4 linked regions of the Saccharomyces cerevisiae S288C genome follow. The protein of the gene in region 1 purifies or fractionates together with the protein of each later gene. This does not show direct contact. Each region holds a gene or a part of one and is shown on either strand. Other genes may lie near its edges.

Region 1 (5,605 bases):
CGGTCCCAAAAGAGTTTAACCTTTACGGCCCCTTTTTATCTCACCATTTTTCCTCTAACGAACTGTCATGAAACAACTTAGCATATAACGCGTACTTACATAGATAGATTAAATAGATAACCATGCATATCACTAACTAGCATCGTCATGAATAGCACGTTTACCTATACGAATTGCGGCCGGCATGGTCTTTTATATTGCTCCCTTGGACCGAGTAAAGATTTACCTTGCGTTTTCGGATCGTCAAAATCTTTTAGGGAAAGGATAAATACACCACAAGATTCCTGGGAAATGAAAAGTATCTGAAATAATTGTGCTTTTGGAAGGGTACTGAGAGCAGTGAAGTTTCTATGGGTACTACGACAAGTCATCCAGCCCAAAAAAAGCAAACAACAAAAAAGTGTCGTGCACCTATCATGAGTGACGTTAGAGAAAAACCCAGCAATGCTCAAGGCTGCGAACCGCAAGAAATGGATGCTGTGAGCAAGAAAGTTACTGAACTGAGCTTAAATAAATGTTCAGATTCCCAAGACGCGGGGCAGCCTTCAAGGGAGGGATCTATTACCAAAAAAAAATCGACGTTATTGCTGCGTGATGAGGACGAGCCCACTATGCCAAAGCTATCTGTTATGGAAACTGCTGTGGACACTGACTCTGGGTCTTCGTCTACTAGCGATGATGAAGAGGGAGATATTATTGCCCAGACGACAGAGCCCAAGCAAGATGCCAGTCCTGATGATGATCGCTCAGGCCATTCTTCGCCCAGAGAGGAGGGACAACAGCAAATACGTGCCAAAGAAGCTTCGGGAGGTCCAAGTGAAATCAAGAGCTCATTAATGGTTCCCGTGGAGATAAGGTGGCAGCAAGGTGGTTCAAAAGTTTACGTGACAGGCTCATTCACCAAATGGAGGAAAATGATCGGTTTGATACCTGATTCTGACAATAATGGCTCATTTCATGTGAAGCTAAGGCTGCTTCCAGGCACACATAGATTCAGATTTATAGTGGATAATGAGCTTAGAGTTAGTGATTTCCTGCCCACAGCAACTGATCAGATGGGAAACTTCGTCAATTACATAGAAGTCAGGCAACCAGAAAAAAACCCAACTAACGAAAAGATAAGGTCCAAGGAAGCAGATTCCATGCGACCTCCCACCAGCGATCGATCCTCAATTGCTCTACAAATTGGTAAGGATCCAGACGATTTTGGTGACGGATATACAAGGTTTCATGAAGATCTGTCACCCAGACCTCCGTTGGAATATACAACAGACATTCCCGCCGTGTTTACTGACCCGTCTGTCATGGAACGATACTATTATACCTTGGATCGTCAGCAAAGCAATACTGATACGTCATGGCTGACACCACCCCAATTACCTCCTCAGTTGGAGAATGTTATCTTGAATAAATACTATGCCACGCAAGACCAGTTCAACGAGAACAACTCAGGCGCTCTGCCCATTCCGAACCATGTGGTGCTTAACCACTTGGTTACTAGTAGCATTAAGCACAATACACTTTGTGTAGCCTCCATCGTTCGATATAAACAGAAATATGTCACCCAGATTCTTTATACGCCCATAGAGTCCTCGTAATCCGGGATTCCTACTTTTTAAAGGCGTATTGTATATATTTTTGGCAGCTATGGCACACTAATTTCTATTTCCAATTTAGTGTAAGCAGAGATATAGAAGCATATAACATAATGATTTACTAATGGGCTCAGTACTCTCAATGCTTATTGTTATCACAAACCACGATACTAATACCCGGAAGTCGCGTGATCTTTTTTTTTTTCGGAAAATGAGAATCGCCACTTTTCTAACGAAAGAATATTGAAATCTTAATATTGGTGAGAAGAGGAATAAAAGTAGCTAAGAGAGTCACGGGACTAAAAGGTAAAAAGTTCAGCTATTCCAACTTTACTCCTTTCTGATATTGCACCTTTCGTGAACTGGCTTCGTGTATTTAAGTGAATATGGAAGAGCTGAATATTGATTTTGACGTATTTAAGAAAAGGATTGAATTGTTGTATTCCAAGTACAATGAGTTTGAAGGTTCTCCAAATTCGCTGCTGTTTGTTTTAGGTTCGTCCAACGCTGAAAACCCGTACCAGAAGACGACCATATTGCATAATTGGTTGCTAAGTTACGAATTTCCCGCTACTTTGATTGCATTAGTTCCCGGAAAGGTTATTATAATTACTAGTTCTGCCAAGGCCAAGCATTTACAAAAGGCAATTGATCTATTTAAAGACCCTGAAAGCAAAATTACGCTGGAATTGTGGCAAAGAAACAATAAAGAACCAGAACTCAATAAAAAGTTATTTGATGACGTTATTGCCTTAATCAATAGCGCTGGTAAAACAGTGGGTATCCCTGAAAAGGACTCTTACCAAGGTAAATTTATGACTGAGTGGAACCCAGTATGGGAAGCGGCTGTGAAGGAGAACGAATTCAATGTCATTGATATTTCGCTGGGTCTTTCTAAAGTTTGGGAAGTGAAGGATGTTAACGAACAAGCCTTCCTGTCCGTTTCAAGTAAGGGGTCGGACAAATTTATGGACCTTTTATCCAATGAAATGGTTCGGGCAGTTGACGAGGAGTTGAAAATCACCAATGCCAAGTTATCAGACAAAATTGAAAATAAAATTGATGATGTGAAATTTTTGAAGCAATTGAGTCCCGATTTAAGCGCATTATGCCCACCAAACTACAAATTCAACTTTGATTTATTGGATTGGACCTATTCTCCAATCATTCAGTCCGGGAAAAAGTTTGATCTTAGGGTTTCTGCCCGTTCTACCAATGATCAGTTGTACGGCAACGGTTGTATTTTAGCTTCATGTGGTATTCGTTACAATAATTATTGTTCTAATATTACTAGGACCTTTTTGATCGATCCATCTGAAGAAATGGCCAACAACTACGATTTTCTATTAACTTTGCAAAAAGAAATTGTAACTAACATTCTGAAGCCCGGCCGTACACCAAAAGAAGTTTATGAATCAGTAATAGAATACATCGAAAAAACCAAACCTGAACTAGTGCCCAATTTCACCAAAAACATTGGTTCATTGATTGGTCTCGAATTTAGAGATTCTAACTTTATATTAAATGTTAAGAATGATTACCGTAAAATCCAACGCGGTGACTGCTTTAATATTTCGTTTGGTTTCAATAATCTGAAAGATTCTCAAAGTGCTAACAACTACGCTTTACAATTAGCTGATACGGTTCAAATTCCTCTCGATGAAACAGAGCCTCCACGCTTCTTAACAAATTACACCAAAGCCAAATCCCAGATATCATTTTATTTCAATAATGAAGAAGAAGACAATAATAAAAAGAAATCTTCACCTGCCACCAAAGTCCCTAGTAAACCAGACAGAAATTCCAAAATTTTAAGAACAAAGTTACGTGGCGAAGCCCGTGGTGGTGCCGAAGACGCTCAAAAGGAGCAAATTCGTAAAGAAAACCAAAAGAAGCTACACGAAAAATTGGAAAAGAATGGATTACTCAGATTTAGTGCTGCTGATGCCAATGGCCCAGATAGTGAACCTCGTCAATACTTCAAAAAATATGAATCTTATGTTCGGGATTCACAACTACCAACCAATATTCGTGATCTAAGAATTCATGTCGACTGGAAAAGCCAAACAATTATTCTACCCATTTACGGTAGGCCAGTCCCATTTCATATAAATTCATATAAGAATGGTTCTAAAAACGAAGAAGGCGAATATACGTATTTACGTTTGAACTTTAATTCACCGGGATCTTCTGGTGGTATTTCTAAAAAAGTGGAGGAATTGCCGTATGAGGAATCAGCAGACAATCAATTTGTACGTTCGATTACACTAAGATCCAAAGATGGTGACCGCATGAGTGAAACCTTTAAACAAATTGCAGATTTGAAAAAAGAAGCCACAAAGAGAGAGCAAGAACGTAAGGCGCTTGCTGATGTTGTTCAACAGGACAAATTGATTGAAAATAAAACTGGAAGAACGAAAAGACTGGATCAAATTTTTGTGAGGCCAAATCCAGATACAAAACGTGTACCTAGTACTGTCTTTATCCATGAAAATGGTATCAGATTTCAATCCCCACTAAGGACTGATAGCAGAATAGACATATTATTCTCAAACATTAAGAATCTAATTTTTCAATCTTGTAAAGGTGAATTAATTGTCGTCATTCATATTCATTTGAAGAATCCAATTTTAATGGGTAAAAAGAAAATACAAGACGTCCAATTCTATCGTGAAGCTTCTGATATGTCCGTCGATGAAACTGGAGGTGGAAGACGAGGTCAATCCAGATTCAGAAGATATGGTGATGAGGATGAGCTGGAACAAGAACAAGAAGAAAGAAGAAAACGAGCTGCGCTTGATAAAGAATTTAAGTATTTTGCAGACGCAATCGCAGAAGCATCAAACGGTTTATTGACGGTGGAGAATACATTTAGAGATTTGGGCTTCCAAGGTGTCCCAAATAGATCGGCAGTTTTCTGTATGCCAACTACAGATTGTTTAGTTCAATTGATTGAACCACCATTTTTGGTGATTAACCTAGAGGAAGTCGAAATCTGTATTTTAGAAAGAGTTCAATTTGGTTTGAAAAACTTCGACATGGTTTTTGTTTATAAAGATTTCAATAAACCCGTCACTCATATCAATACAGTTCCGATCGAATCTTTAGATTTCTTGAAGCAGTGGTTAACAGATATGGATATTCCTTACACTGTCTCAACAATCAATTTGAATTGGGCAACTATTATGAAGTCATTACAAGATGATCCATATCAGTTTTTCTTAGATGGTGGTTGGAATTTTCTGGCTACTGGTTCAGATGATGAAGCATCTGATGAAAGTGAAGAAGAAGTTAGTGAATATGAGGCTTCAGAAGACGACGTAAGTGATGAAAGCGCATTTTCTGAAGATGAAGAAGGATCAGAGGTGGATGACGATATTAGTGGTGATGAAAGTGAGGACTATACTGGCGACGAGAGTGAGGAAGGTGAAGACTGGGATGAATTAGAGAAAAAGGCTGCTAGGGCTGATAGGGGTGCAAACTTTAGAGATTAGACTTTATAACACTTACTGGGTTTCACCAGCAAGACCTTGATCTGACAGAAAATTACTCTTATGTATCTGAAAAATAATGATGGTATTTAGGCATAGTATTTATCAATGCTAAGAAATGTAAATGGACTGAATGTACACTCAATGCTAACGGTCAAGGTCATAGGACGTTTGCGTAATAAAAGAAACTCTACTAGAGTTGAACATAATTTGATATAAAAGTATATAAATTGAAAAGGCAGTTTCAATCATTTTAGTTTCTGCAATTTATTTATTCCTGTAATCTACAATTTTATAGTTGGGAAATTCTCTCGAAAATATTAAGAAAAATACAGAACTCATAAGGTCTTTTTTATTGGCATTTTGAAATCCCCTCAGATAATCAAAGATGCTAACAAACAAAATAATAACGGTAAAAAAAAAAAAAATACACGATGGGGTACAGCAAACGAATTATTTTATCCACGTCTTAAAATCCTGTGGGTTGAACGTTCATCGCGCTGTTCATCAGCATCAAAG
Region 2 (3,452 bases), on another chromosome or scaffold:
TATAGAAGGCTACCGTACGGTCATTTTTGACATTCGCAAACGCTATCCTCCATTTAAATAGCGAGAGTGCTTCAAGGTACTCACCCTGGCTCAATTTCACCAATATATTGTTACTAGAATTTGCGATAAACATTTCTCTCCCGCTTTTACCTAAAATAGTAGATCCCAAGGTCCTCAGCGCACTATATAACGCACTTTTATATGCTATGCCCGTAGGATTGTAAAACTCTACCCCCAAATGAGGCGTTGCCATTGTAATGAATAATTGTGGTTCAATATCCTCGAACAGTTCTTTAAATTCGGTCAACATCTTACCGATCATAAATCGGGCCACTAATCCGCCTTGCGAATATCCCATTACGCTTAGTTTGGTGATTTTCCCGTCTTTATAATCTCGGATAAATTCACAAACTTCAATCAATGTCCTGTACCCAATGATTTCGATACCATCAAACGTCTTAAACATGGCATTCTGCTTTGGTAAAAAATATATCATATCATCGTTAACATCTTCCTTTTTTAATGTAGTGGATAAAATTGTCCTCATAGATTCCATATGAGTATAGTTACCCCATAGCCCGTGAATCAGCACAAAAAGGTGTTTATCCGAAGTCATCTGAAGCGCTGTATAATATATATGGTTGATCACACGAAGTTTTCTACCGATTATTGCAGTAAAGAGTTGCCACCCTTTCTTTATTATCTTTGTTTTTCATTTTGATCTTATATACTGAAAATCCCCGTTGATCATGATTTGGTAAAGAGCTTCAGAAGAGTTTCCACAGTTTCCTGCAATGATTCAAACGAAACCTCTTCACCAGATCCCATCGAAATGCGTTTTAATTCATCCCTGTGCGTAAATTCAGCTGCATCAAACGTTATCTTGTATAACTTTTGATAGTCTGTAATAGAATTAGAAATACCTCGAAGTCGGAGGCCACCCAAAATTAGCTTGGACAAAGTTTCATTGAATTGAAGCCGTTTGTCATTAATATGCACGTTGCGATACACTTCCGTTTTCGTTCCGATCTTCCTTTGTTGAGATTGTTGTATTATTATATCAATACTACCTTCCTTTGATACGGAGGCCCTTGTCTTTCCAATATCTTGCTTCAATTTGGTGACCTGGCCATCAAACTCATGCTTCATTGTTAGATCCACTTGAAAGCAGTTTAACTCTGTGTTCTCTCGAAATATAATCAAGTATGCTGGCTCCTGCGATCGCTGATCGACCTTGTCAAACAATTCAATGACAATGCCACGATTCGCGTTCCTTAGTTTTGATTTGAAGTAAGCCTGTGCGGTTGCACTGGTACTATAACATCTATATGTATTCATATTTGTGGAGCGGACCCACAAAGGCAGTTTTGCGAGATCTACATACTGAATGAATTGTCCCCTCAACTCTGAAGTTGATTTACTTGCTGTAGGTCGATTGCTCCAAAGTTGGATATCCCTAATGACCAAACTTCCCTGCTTTCCGCTAAGAGTAAAATTTAGTGTGCATAATTTCCGTGACATCAAAAGTCAGGCGAATTGGTGAATGCTGTCCCCTTTCAAGGCAGTCTATCATTTCTTAGTTACCTGCCAACAGGCCTTTATCAGGCCTCAAAGAAAAAAATTTCCTTGCGTAGCCCGCTTTTCGCCCGAACCTGGCAAAGCAAACAGACGATCGAAAAATTTCCAACGATCTTATCTAGGTGGAAGTTATAAAAAGAAGAATAAAGCATCGTCAACCTTTTTAACCTGAATTGGGAAACAACGGGCACACACATTTGTTGGAGTTTGTATGATTGCTAAAAAATAAAAAGTAATTAAAAAAACATCATAGAGTTGTAAGGTCTCAGGGAAATAGAAGGAACAATAAACCTAAAAGAATAGAAGAAACAGAATGCCATTACCTCCGTCAACATTGAACCAGAAATCTAATAGAGTCTACTCTGTAGCTAGGGTGTACAAGAATGCCTGCGAGGAGAGACCACAAGAATACTGGGACTACGAACAAGGGGTGACCATCGATTGGGGAAAGATTTCCAATTACGAAATTATCAACAAAATTGGAAGAGGGAAATATTCCGAAGTGTTCAGCGGTAGATGTATTGTAAACAACCAGAAGTGTGTTATTAAAGTTTTAAAACCAGTTAAAATGAAAAAAATTTATAGAGAGTTGAAAATTCTGACCAATCTAACAGGCGGCCCCAATGTTGTTGGCCTTTATGATATAGTACAAGACGCTGACTCCAAAATACCTGCTTTGATCTTTGAGGAAATCAAAAATGTTGATTTCAGAACTTTATATCCTACATTCAAACTTCCTGACATCCAGTATTATTTCACGCAATTATTGATTGCGTTAGACTACTGTCACTCCATGGGCATAATGCACAGAGACGTAAAGCCTCAGAATGTCATGATTGATCCTACGGAACGTAAACTAAGGCTGATCGATTGGGGCCTGGCGGAGTTCTACCATCCAGGTGTAGATTACAACGTTCGTGTCGCTTCGCGTTACCACAAGGGACCAGAACTTTTAGTAAACTTGAACCAATATGACTACTCCCTAGACTTATGGTCAGTAGGATGCATGCTAGCAGCTATTGTCTTCAAAAAAGAACCTTTTTTCAAAGGGTCGTCTAATCCAGATCAACTGGTAAAGATTGCCACAGTACTAGGAACCAAGGAACTGTTAGGCTATTTGGGTAAGTACGGGTTGCACTTACCATCTGAATACGACAACATTATGAGAGACTTTACAAAAAAATCGTGGACACACTTTATAACCTCCGAGACCAAATTAGCTGTTCCTGAAGTGGTTGATTTAATCGACAATTTATTAAGGTATGACCATCAAGAAAGATTAACAGCAAAGGAGGCTATGGATCATAAGTTTTTCAAAACGAAGTTTGAATAATTGGACAACAATACTCTTAGCAAGGCAATTCTTTTTCCACCACTGATTTCCATTTATAAAAAGCAGGGGTTTTCCTTTTTTGTAGCTTGATATTAGAGAATATCCTTAATGTGAATATTAAATTGCAAACTCTATTTAACAACGAATGTAGATTATTATATGACCAGAAAATCACTTTATATAGATATAAGAGCCTTCCGTAATGCTATGCAAGTTTTGATGAATTATTATATTGTCGTGAGGCGTGTTCCGAGGAGTTTCGTCGCCATTGGGATAGAGATGCTCGTAATCGTACGTGTCTGGAAGTGCCTGCCGACGGTAGCGATGTCTACTCTCGTCCCAGACAATGGAATAGTTTTGGAATTGTTCTACATCATTTATTAGAACACATGATTCACGAAATCTCCCACGTTTGTCAATATCTCGCCTACGAACAGTGTCATCGAATGATATTGAACGCTGAGAGAGCCATTTACCTTTTGAGTAAAATACGCTGCCTTTTTTCAGCAATGAAGAAGCACTTCCCTCCTTTCTTACATCC
Region 3 (6,642 bases), 930 kb from region 1:
AGACAGCATTCTTAATGACATCGTCCATAATGTTCGTTTGGTAACCTTTAGTGAAATAAAGCATGGCTTTAGCGTATCTTTGTGGAGTATCTAGTAGACCTTCTCTGTTGACATCTTCACCCAGTTCGGTCAAAATTGTCTTGATAGCGCCTGAAATGCGTTGAATTCGTTCCTTTTCCTCCTCTTCAGTTTCCTCTGCACGTTGTCTTGTACCCACACTTGGCCAAGAAAACCCATCTCTCTCGACAGGAGGGTTTAAAGTGTATGGAGAGGTAGGTCTAATGTTTAACGGGGTTTCATGTCTTTCTATCTCTTGCACTAATTGGATGTTATGCATTTTGGGATGATTGAAAGTATTGGTTCTAACAAAAAATGAGTCACGCACGCACAATCACGATTGAGGATGGAGTCGTATAATATTTTATGAACGGATGCTATATCGATCAGACGGTTGGCACCGTAAAAATAAATGAAAGAAGTTAAAGAAGGGCAAATCAGTCGGATTATGTGATAAGTATGTAATAGACATGTTTGAAAATTAGGAGCATTAAAATATGCTTTTCATCCTACAGTTGTTCGGTCTTTTTTCTTTTCGGTGAGCGACACAGCTTTTCTACTAAGGCCGTACCGGGTCATCCAAATCCTAAATTTTCATGCGCTAATAGCGTTGAGGCTGGGTGATAATTCTGCCTACACCATGACAAAGAGGACATATATCTTCGTCCAACAGGAATCTGGTGCGTCCGGACCCTCTGCATTCACCACATAGCACGCCACCCAGGCGAGGATCCCCTGGTTGAACGTACAAGGGCCTATTACCCTGCCATGCGTTGGTGTACACGGGCATTGTATAGTTTGTGTAATATGTCGGTGCAGAAACAACGTTATTTTGAGGTGCAAACCTCCTCCAACACGACTTGCAAGATCGTCCATTCTTCAACTTGTAACCCGTATTTCCACACTTGGAACAGTAAAACCTGGGAGGGTATGTCCAGGGCAAGCTAGGATTCTGTTGTGGCCTCGGTGGAGGCCGTGGTTGGGAACTTGTAGGCGTATAAGAGTGTGAGTGAGCATATGTTTGGGATGAGGACGTTGCTGGCATTGTCGAGGGCCTTTGGTGGGGTCTTGATTGGTGCCCTTGCGCCAAGTTAGCTGCTGGTCTTGGTGGTCGTGGCGGTTGAGATTGCAATCTCTCCTCTTCCTTGATTACGTCCTCGTAGCTCGGCAGTTCATCATCATGCGTGTCTTTAGACATAACAGTATGGTTTATACTCGTTTTATGGGTATTTTTTGGGACTGCTTAGTTCTTGACTTGAAGCCTCTTTATTCCCTTGATGGAAGTGTCACTATTAAAGATGGAGGCGGAGGCTATACCGTAGAAAATGATATGTTTGTATGTTCTGCTCTCTTCCCTCTATTAAAAGGGGGAAAGAGAAAAATAAATGGAAAAAAGCGATTAAGCCATAGGGAAAACACTCTTGTGGTGGCAAAGCATCAGATAGGCAGGCAGGAGGAAATGGCAGTGAAGTGTCAAACCAAGCATACTTTCACTGGATTGATTTGAAAGTTAATGCTGAGTTTGAGATGTTTTAAAGAGGAACTGTGGTGATCGGTTATTTCTATTCGCTTTTGTGTGCGTCTTTTCATCGTTTGCAGCTGAACTTGTTGAGGCATTAGCCGCTGAGGAATTTTTTTCTGCCTCTATAAACTTGTTTATTATCACTAAAAACGTACCGTCTGTTATTTTGTACGGCCATGTGTGCGAAAAAGGACAAAGTGGTAGCGAAAGAGCAATATTGGGACGAAAAGGAGCAGAAAAGGAACTGCGTAGGGTCTTAAATAAAGCAAAACGTCTGAAGGATCTTGCGTACTCCTTACTAACCCATTGTTGTTTTCGACAGTCATAAAAAGAAGTTACCACGGTCTATTTCTCTCTTCTCGCTATTTATTCACAATTGGTGCAGAAAGAACATGGCACGAAATTTAAGGAATAGACGCGGTAGCGACGTTGAAGATGCAAGCAACGCAAAGGTTGGGTATGAAACACAGATTAAAGACGAAAATGGCATAATCCATACAACAACTCGCTCTTTGAGAAAAATAAACTACGCAGAAATTGAGAAAGTGTTTGATTTTTTGGAAGATGACCAGGTCATGGACAAAGATGAGACGCCCGTTGATGTTACTAGTGATGAACATCATAACAACAACCAGAAAGGCGATGATGAAGACGATGATGTTGATCTTGTATCACCGCACGAAAACGCCAGAACGAACGAAGAGCTTACTAATGAAAGGAACTTGAGAAAAAGAAAAGCGCATGATCCAGAAGAAGATGACGAAAGTTTTCATGAGGAAGATGTCGACGATGATGAAGAGGAGGAAGAAGCAGACGAATTTGAAGATGAGTATTTGGATGAAGACTCGAAGGATAACAACCGTCGGCGCAGAGCGGCCGATAGGAAATTTGTAGTACCAGACCCTGATGACGATGAAGAATACGATGAGGATGACGAAGAAGGAGACAGAATAAGCCATTCGGCTTCTTCTAAACGTTTGAAAAGGGCAAATTCTCGAAGAACAAGATCGTCACGTCACCCAGAAACTCCACCACCGGTAAGAAGAGCTTTAAGAAGTAGGACAAGACATTCGCGTACTTCAAATGAAGAAAATGACGATGAGAATGATAATAGCAGGAATGAAGCGTTAACTTTAGCTGATGAAATTAGAGAGTTACAGGAAGATAGTCCTATCAGGGAAAAAAGATTTCTTCGCGAAAGAACTAAGCCGGTAAATTACAAATTACCACCACCACTAACTGCTAGCAACGCAGAAGAATTTATAGATAAGAATAACAATGCACTTTCTTTTCATAACCCATCACCTGCACGGCGTGGTCGCGGTGGTTGGAATGCTAGTCAAAATTCTGGTCCCACAAGAAGGCTTTTTCCCACTGGTGGACCTTTTGGTGGCAATGACGTAACTACAATATTTGGTAAGAATACTAATTTTTACAACCAAGTCCCATCTGCATTCAGTGATAATAACAACAATAAATTAATACTGGATTCAGACTCTTCCGATGATGAGATATTACCTCTTGGCGTGACACCGAAAACAAAGAAAGAGAACACGCAAAAAAAGAAGAAGAAAAAACCAGAAATTGCAGACCTCGATCCATTAGGCGTAGACATGAATGTAAATTTTGACGATATAGGTGGTTTAGACAACTACATTGACCAATTAAAGGAAATGGTGGCCTTACCACTATTATACCCAGAATTGTATCAAAATTTTAATATCACGCCCCCAAGGGGTGTTCTTTTCCATGGTCCTCCTGGTACGGGTAAAACACTTATGGCAAGAGCGTTAGCAGCAAGTTGTTCTTCTGATGAAAGGAAGATCACATTTTTTATGCGTAAAGGTGCAGATATTTTATCCAAGTGGGTTGGTGAAGCTGAAAGACAACTCCGTTTGTTATTCGAAGAAGCTAAAAAACATCAACCTTCCATCATTTTTTTTGATGAAATCGACGGATTAGCGCCTGTGAGAAGTTCCAAACAAGAACAGATCCATGCTAGTATTGTTTCCACATTATTAGCGCTGATGGATGGTATGGACAATAGAGGCCAAGTCATTGTCATCGGAGCCACAAATCGACCCGATGCAGTGGATCCCGCATTAAGAAGGCCGGGAAGATTTGATAGAGAATTTTATTTTCCATTACCTGATGTTAAAGCACGTTTTAAAATTTTGCAAATTCAGACCAGGAAATGGAGTTCACCGTTGTCAACCAACTTCATTGATAAATTGGCTTTTTTGACCAAAGGATATGGTGGTGCTGATCTGAGGTCCCTATGCACTGAGGCTGCACTAATAAGTATACAAAGAAGCTTTCCTCAAATTTATAGGTCAAATGATAAACTCTTGGTGGACCCTTCTAAGATTAAAGTCAAAGTTAGCGATTTCATGTTAGCTTTGAAAAAAATTGTTCCGTCATCTGCGAGATCTACTGGTAGTTCTCCTCAGCCACTACCTGAATTAATCAAACCATTACTGGCAGATCAACTTAATAATTTAAAGAACAAGCTGGATTATATGCTGAACATTAAAGACACAACTTTTCAGAGAAACACATCATTGCTACAAAATTTCATCGATTATGAAGAATACAGTGGAGAGGAAGAAGAGCATGACAAATATGGAGGAAATGAAGATACATCCAGTTTTAGATCATATGAGTTTTTCGAATCGATGGCGGAATCACAAATTTGTAAACCTCGGTTATTAATAAATGGGCCCAAGGGAAATGGTCAACAATATGTCGGAGCCGCAATTTTAAATTATTTAGAAGAATTCAACGTCCAAAACCTGGACCTTGCCTCTTTGGTTTCGGAAAGTTCTAGGACTATTGAAGCTGCTGTAGTGCAAAGTTTTATGGAAGCAAAGAAAAGACAGCCCTCAGTTGTATTTATTCCTAATTTAGACATTTGGATCAACACTATTCCAGAAAACGTTATTTTAGTCTTATCAGGTTTGTTCAGATCTTTACAAAGCAATGAAAAAATTCTTCTATTATGCTTAGCTGAAAATCTTGATATATCTGAAGTTAAAAATGGTATTTTATCTGATTTTGCTTTTGATAAAAATATCTTTCAACTGCATAAACCATCCAAAGAGAATATAACGAGGTATTTTTCTAATTTAATTGAACTACTGAAAACAAAGCCAAGTGATATTCCCATGAAAAAGAGAAGAGTCAAACCGTTACCTGAATTACAAAAAGTAACTTCAAACGCAGCTCCAACAAATTTTGATGAAAATGGTGAGCCACTGTCTGAAAAAGTGGTATTAAGAAGGAAGTTGAAATCTTTTCAACACCAAGATATGAGATTGAAAAATGTGTTAAAAATCAAACTCTCAGGCTTGATGGATCTTTTTAAAAACAGATATAAAAGGTTTAGAAAACCACCTATTGATGATGCCTTCTTGGTTCATCTTTTCGAACCAGAGACAAGCAATGATCCCAATTGGCAACCTGCATATATAAAAGATGAGAACATGATTCTGGAGGTTTCAACAGGGCGAAAGTTTTTTAACATGGATTTGGATATTGTCGAAGAGAGACTTTGGAATGGCTATTACTCAGAACCAAAACAGTTTTTAAAAGACATTGAACTGATATACAGGGATGCAAATACCATTGGGGACAGAGAACGTGTCATTAAGGCCTCTGAGATGTTTGCCAACGCGCAAATGGGTATCGAAGAAATTTCAACCCCGGATTTTATTCAAGAGTGTAAAGCTACTCGCCAAAGGGATTTGGAAAGGCAGGAACTTTTCTTAGAAGATGAAGAGAAAAGAGCTGCAATGGAATTAGAAGCCAAAGAACAGAGTCAAGAAAATATACTGCAAGAACCTGATTTAAAGGATAACAAGGCTAATGAGTTTGGTGTAGCTGCTGGTAATCAATTGCAAGCTCAGCTGCAAACAACTATCAATACAGCCTCTATCGTTAATAACAGCGAGGTCCCTCAACCAATTGATACCAACCTGTATAAAAAGGAGATTCCTGCGGCAATTCCCTCTGCAGTAGATAAAGAAAAAGCGGTCATCCCTGAGGATAGCGGTGCAAATGAAGAATACACAACGGAACTGATACAGGCCACTTGCACGTCAGAGATAACCACCGATGATGATGAAAGGGCCAGAAAAGAACCAAAAGAGAATGAAGACTCTTTGCAAACGCAGGTTACGGAAGAAAACTTCAGCAAAATAGACGCTAATACTAATAATATAAATCACGTAAAGGAAATTCAATCGGTTAACAAACCAAATTCCCTCCACGAAACGGTAGAAAAAAGGGAACGAAGTCCGATACCAAAAGAGGTTGTGGAACCGGAGCAAGGGAAGAAGAGCGACAAGGAGCTTATTTTGACGCCCGAACAAATAAAAAAAGTATCTGCATGCTTAATCGAACACTGTCAGAATTTTACGGTTTCTCAATTAGAAGATGTTCATTCGTCCGTTGCAAAAATAATATGGAAAAGTAAATCAGCATGGGATAAAACAGGAACTGTCGATGAAATAATAAAATTTTTATCTGAATAAGCAGGAGTCCATAATGTTTATATAATTCTTAAATGTAGTTAGTTCATATACATGAATGTGCACTTTTCTTGAAAAGAAATAGATTTAAAACCACACCTTGTATATATATTATGCTTTTTTCCACTACTTTATTTTAACAGTCACTGTTCTGGCATACGTTTCGGGTAATGACCGAGAATGGAATATGTATTGAACATATTGAAATTAAACATGTTCATAATATCTTCTAACACCATTGGAATTGTGAGAAGTAGATCCGTACCATCAATAGCCGGCTCAAGATGTCAACTGAATACTCTGCTGATTCATCTAAATCATTTATGATTGCAATGCAATCTATGATTGATACTTCACAAACCTTTAATCTAGATAGATCGAAAATCTCTTTACCAGATTTTGATGACGAGCTAAAAAAAGTCCAAAAGGATGAACAAAATCAAAGAACTGAACTAACTGTTCTCTCACAAGATAGAAATGATTGGGATGATATATTTGAGGAGTTTAAAGACATTTCATTTGCTCAACTGCAAT
Region 4 (5,340 bases), on another chromosome or scaffold:
ACTCAGTTGATCTCATAAGTGAAAAGCAAAAAAAGGATGCAGGTGTTACAGTTATGGTTGACAACTTTGATCTCTTTGGTGGTGGCAGTGCAGGGATTACATTTCGACATTGCAGCATCTACAGATCCAGAACAGGTTTGTATTCGTGATTTTGTCACTGAAGGTCAATTGGTTGTCGCGGATATTCACTCAGATGGTTCTGTTGGTGATGGACAGAAACTAAACCTCTTCGTGCGTGATTCAGTTGGAAACGAGTATCGTAGAAAGAGGGACTTTGCAGGCGACGTTCGTGTTGCGTTTACTGCTCCATCCTCCACGGCATTCGACGTTTGTTTTGAAAATCAGGCTCAGTATCGTGGCCGTTCTTTAAGCAGGGCCATTGAATTGGACATTGAGAGTGGTGCTGAAGCTCGTGACTGGAACAAGATCAGTGCCAACGAAAAATTGAAACCTATAGAAGTGGAGTTGCGTAGAGTGGAGGAAATTACCGACGAAATTGTCGACGAATTGACTTACTTGAAAAACAGAGAGGAGAGATTAAGAGACACCAATGAATCTACCAACAGAAGGGTAAGAAATTTCTCAATTTTGGTTATTATTGTCTTGTCCTCGCTGGGTGTTTGGCAAGTCAACTATTTGAAGAACTACTTCAAAACGAAACATATCATTTAAGCAAAGGAAGAGGACCACACCATGCATTTGTGTATCAGCTTACCCTATAATTGCATATGTACTCGACTATTTTCTACATATATATGAATAGATTCCAGAACCGAATAAAGGAGAAAAAATATTTGAATATGGATTTGTTCGCTTCACATCTTTAAGTAACCTAGTTTTCCCAATACGCAACCAAAGTCCAAGTATGTCATGAAAAGCCTCTTGCCATCAGTAGCACAACTAATCATTTCAATGGTCCCAGAACTTTGGTCAGCCCCGATGAGATTGGAGATTTTTTGAAGGTCTTTTACGCTTAATACATGATCTCTTAAGGCCACTTGCGGGAAATCCACGTCTCTGCCACAGTTTCTAATAAGCATCGACCATAAATCATCTATTACTGTTAAATTATTCATCAGTATCAGTAACTGGCATGTGCATCGTACCAGTTTCGTGAAATCTATTACGTCAGTTCCTTCTATAATGACGTCTTCATTTCTCACCAGTTTCCAAATTGTGGGCTCTAGTTGCAAATCCTTGAAGAACCTTGGTAGTTCATTAACGGTCATATCATGGTCCAGACTGGATTCCGCATATTTTTCCAGAATTTCATCTTCAACTTCGATAGGTACTTTCGGGTTCTCGAATAGCTCTACTCTTTCATAACTAACGTTAGTGGATTTGCTCATTGAAAAAAAACTCGGAAGGTATTTAGGTGACCTTGCGGCTTCTTAATGCTGACACCTGCATGCGTAATTGTTATTATATATATATATGATAGTATATTTCATACTTGTTCCTTCTAAAGGTGACCCGCCTGATATGCGACATAGAAAAAAATTTGGATGAACATGTTCAAAGATTGGTAGCATTGACAAGAACCATTCATACAAGTAGGTAACAGCAGAAGGAAAGAGGAACGGGTGTTGTGATAATTATGAGTGACAACTCGGACACAAACGTGAGCATGCAGGACCATGATCAACAATTTGCTGATCCCGTAGTGGTTCCGCAGTCAACTGACACTAAAGATGAAAATACTAGTGACAAAGATACTGTTGATAGTGGCAATGTGACCACAACGGAAAGTACAGAACGTGCAGAAAGTACAAGCAATATTCCCCCTTTAGATGGGGAAGAAAAAGAAGCAAAATCTGAGCCACAGCAACCTGAGGATAATGCAGAAACGGCGGCCACAGAGCAGGTTTCATCTAGTAACGGGCCTGCTACAGATGATGCCCAAGCAACTTTGAATACGGATTCATCCGAAGCAAATGAAATTGTCAAGAAGGAAGAGGGCTCTGATGAAAGGAAGAGACCTCGCGAAGAGGACACCAAAAACAGTGATGGTGATACCAAAGATGAGGGCGATAACAAAGATGAAGACGATGATGAAGACGACGATGACGATGATGATGATGAGGACGATGACGATGAAGCCCCAACTAAAAGGCGTCGTCAGGAGAGGAACAGATTCTTGGATATTGAAGCTGAGGTTAGTGATGATGAAGATGAAGATGAAGATGAAGAGGATTCAGAGTTGGTTCGTGAAGGTTTCATTACCCATGGTGATGATGAAGATGACGAAGCAAGTGCTCCAGGCGCAAGAAGAGACGATAGATTACATAGACAACTGGACCAAGATTTGAACAAGACTTCAGAAGAAGACGCTCAAAGGTTAGCGAAAGAATTAAGGGAGCGTTACGGTAGAAGCAGCTCCAAGCAATACCGTGCTGCTGCTCAAGATGGTTACGTGCCCCAGAGGTTTCTCCTACCAAGTGTTGATACAGCTACCATTTGGGGTGTGCGCTGCAGACCAGGTAAAGAAAAGGAATTGATTCGTAAGTTATTAAAAAAAAAATTCAATTTGGATAGGGCGATGGGTAAGAAAAAACTGAAAATTTTATCCATTTTCCAAAGGGATAATTACACAGGAAGAATCTATATCGAAGCCCCTAAGCAATCCGTTATTGAAAAATTTTGTAATGGTGTTCCAGATATTTATATTTCTCAAAAATTGCTAATTCCTGTCCAAGAATTACCTCTATTACTAAAACCAAACAAATCTGATGATGTTGCTTTGGAAGAAGGTAGCTACGTTCGTATTAAGAGAGGGATCTATAAGGGTGACTTAGCTATGGTCGACCAAATTAGTGAGAATAATTTAGAAGTTATGCTGAAAATTGTTCCTCGTCTGGATTATGGTAAATTCGACGAAATTGATCCAACAACACAGCAACGTAAATCCAGAAGACCAACTTTTGCTCATAGAGCACCACCGCAATTATTTAATCCAACAATGGCTCTAAGATTAGACCAAGCTAACCTGTACAAAAGGGATGATCGCCACTTTACTTATAAGAATGAAGATTATATCGATGGTTATCTGTATAAGTCCTTCAGAATTCAACATGTGGAAACCAAAAATATTCAGCCAACTGTGGAGGAATTGGCAAGATTCGGTTCCAAAGAGGGCGCGGTAGATCTAACATCAGTTTCACAATCAATCAAGAAGGCTCAAGCTGCAAAGGTCACTTTCCAGCCAGGTGATCGTATCGAAGTTCTAAATGGTGAACAACGTGGTTCCAAGGGTATTGTAACAAGAACCACGAAAGATATTGCTACTATCAAACTAAATGGCTTTACAACGCCTCTAGAATTTCCTATCTCTACTCTGAGGAAAATTTTCGAACCTGGTGATCACGTTACTGTCATCAATGGTGAACATCAAGGTGATGCTGGTTTAGTTCTTATGGTAGAGCAAGGTCAAGTGACATTTATGTCAACTCAAACAAGCAGAGAAGTTACCATTACAGCAAATAATCTGTCCAAATCCATCGACACTACAGCTACATCAAGTGAATATGCGCTACATGACATAGTCGAATTGAGTGCTAAAAATGTTGCTTGTATTATTCAAGCTGGCCACGATATCTTCAAGGTTATTGATGAAACTGGTAAAGTGTCGACAATTACGAAGGGGTCTATCTTGAGTAAAATAAATACTGCTCGTGCACGCGTTTCTAGTGTCGATGCAAATGGTAATGAAATCAAAATTGGTGATACCATAGTAGAGAAAGTAGGTTCACGCAGAGAAGGTCAGGTCCTGTACATACAAACACAACAAATTTTTGTTGTTTCAAAGAAGATTGTTGAAAATGCAGGGGTTTTTGTTGTTAACCCTAGTAACGTTGAGGCCGTGGCATCCAAGGACAATATGTTAAGTAACAAAATGGATCTAAGTAAAATGAATCCAGAAATCATTTCTAAAATGGGACCTCCATCATCTAAGACATTCCAACAACCCATCCAGTCCAGAGGAGGTCGTGAAGTTGCACTCGGCAAAACAGTAAGAATTCGTTCTGCTGGTTACAAGGGTCAATTAGGTATTGTGAAAGATGTGAATGGTGATAAAGCTACTGTCGAATTACACTCGAAGAACAAACACATTACAATTGACAAGCATAAGTTAACATATTACAACCGTGAGGGAGGTGAAGGTATCACGTATGATGAATTGGTTAATAGACGTGGTAGAGTTCCACAGGCCAGAATGGGCCCAAGTTACGTCAGTGCCCCAAGAAACATGGCCACTGGCGGTATTGCAGCAGGTGCTGCGGCTACCTCTTCTGGTCTTAGCGGTGGTATGACACCAGGATGGAGCTCCTTCGATGGTGGCAAAACACCAGCTGTAAATGCGCATGGAGGCTCAGGTGGTGGCGGTGTCTCCTCATGGGGTGGTGCTTCCACTTGGGGTGGCCAAGGTAATGGAGGTGCATCCGCTTGGGGCGGTGCTGGCGGCGGTGCCTCAGCTTGGGGCGGCCAAGGTACTGGTGCTACTTCTACTTGGGGTGGTGCTTCAGCCTGGGGTAACAAATCAAGTTGGGGCGGTGCATCCACTTGGGCGTCGGGTGGTGAATCTAATGGTGCCATGTCTACTTGGGGTGGTACCGGTGATAGGTCAGCCTACGGCGGGGCTTCCACCTGGGGAGGAAATAACAATAATAAAAGTACAAGAGATGGCGGAGCTTCTGCATGGGGTAACCAAGACGATGGAAATAGGTCTGCTTGGAACAACCAAGGAAATAAGTCAAACTATGGTGGTAACAGTACATGGGGAGGTCATTAATCACCAAAAGGAGAACCAATATCACCCAAGAAGAAATCAATAAAAAAGACTTTAATATTACCACGTTAATAAGAATAGTTATGAAGATTTCGATGTTTCGATGAAATACTGAATCTCGATCTTTTTTTTTCATTTATGCTTGCATTTGTATGTCACGAGTTTTCCTTGATTCTAACTTTTACATATACGTATGTATGTATGTATGCATATGTGTTTTTGCATATCTAAATGAAATATCAACTTTATTATGAGGGAGTTGATTATTGTAATGTAATTTTATATAACTTCTTTTTCGTTAGCGGAATTTCTTTCCGTTTGAATCGTATACAAAATGTATGTATCCATTACTTATTTACAGGATAAATGAAAAAAAATGCGTAACGTCTGCGTATTCGATGGGCTTACATGCCGGGGCTCGTGCTTATTCATATTTCTTCACTTGGCTGTACGCAAGAAATCCAATGGCTTTCTTTCTGCCACTTTCCTTTTCTTTGCTTCTTTGAAAAGCACATGCCGTTTCACCACAGGATCGTATCTGACCTGAGTAACCA

The links.
Region 2: the proteins of SPT16 (region 1) and CKA2 purify together in Saccharomyces cerevisiae (affinity purification with mass spectrometry; 9 studies listed by BioGRID). This does not show direct contact.
Region 3: the proteins of SPT16 (region 1) and YTA7 purify together in Saccharomyces cerevisiae (affinity purification with mass spectrometry; 5 studies listed by BioGRID). This does not show direct contact.
Region 4: the proteins of SPT16 (region 1) and SPT5 purify together in Saccharomyces cerevisiae (affinity purification with mass spectrometry; 5 studies listed by BioGRID, with this or other methods). This does not show direct contact.

The regions. Positions count from the first base shown.
Region 1 is NC_001139.9:96,988-102,592, forward strand, and holds SPT16 (chromatin-remodeling protein SPT16), read left to right. Parts: upstream 1-1,981; coding exon 1,982-5,089; downstream 5,090-5,605. Other genes in the region: MIG2 (Mig2p), read left to right, coding at 1-19; SIP2 (Sip2p), read left to right, coding at 351-1,598; CHC1 (clathrin heavy chain), read right to left, coding at 5,556-5,605. UniProt on the Saccharomyces cerevisiae protein: Component of the FACT complex, a general chromatin factor that acts to reorganize nucleosomes. The FACT complex is involved in multiple processes that require DNA as a template such as mRNA elongation, DNA replication and DNA repair.
Region 2 is NC_001147.6:439,643-443,094, forward strand, and holds CKA2 (casein kinase 2 catalytic subunit CKA2), read left to right. Parts: upstream 1-1,891; coding exon 1,892-2,911; downstream 2,912-3,452. Other genes in the region: LPL1 (putative hydrolase), read right to left, coding at 1-616; SLD7 (Sld7p), read right to left, coding at 748-1,521; YOR062C (uncharacterized protein), read right to left, coding at 3,083-3,452. UniProt on the Saccharomyces cerevisiae protein: Catalytic subunit of a constitutively active serine/threonine-protein kinase complex that phosphorylates a large number of substrates containing acidic residues C-terminal to the phosphorylated serine or threonine.
Region 3 is NC_001139.9:1,025,399-1,032,040, forward strand, and holds YTA7 (chromatin segregase YTA7), read left to right. Parts: upstream 1-1,971; coding exon 1,972-6,111; downstream 6,112-6,642. Other genes in the region: FOL2 (GTP cyclohydrolase I), read right to left, coding at 1-337; HUA1 (Hua1p), read right to left, coding at 659-1,255; SLH1 (RNA helicase), read left to right, coding at 6,393-6,642. UniProt on the Saccharomyces cerevisiae protein: Functions as an ATP-dependent nucleosome disassembly factor that helps evict canonical histone H3 from the 5'-end of genes upon their induction.
Region 4 is NC_001145.3:246,080-251,419, forward strand, and holds SPT5 (transcription elongation factor SPT5), read left to right. Parts: upstream 1-1,597; coding exon 1,598-4,789; downstream 4,790-5,340. Other genes in the region: ERV25 (Erv25p), read left to right, coding at 37-672; RAD33 (Rad33p), read right to left, coding at 816-1,349; mitochondrial 54S ribosomal protein bL33m MRPL39, read right to left, coding at 5,225-5,340. UniProt on the Saccharomyces cerevisiae protein: The SPT4-SPT5 complex mediates both activation and inhibition of transcription elongation, and plays a role in pre-mRNA processing.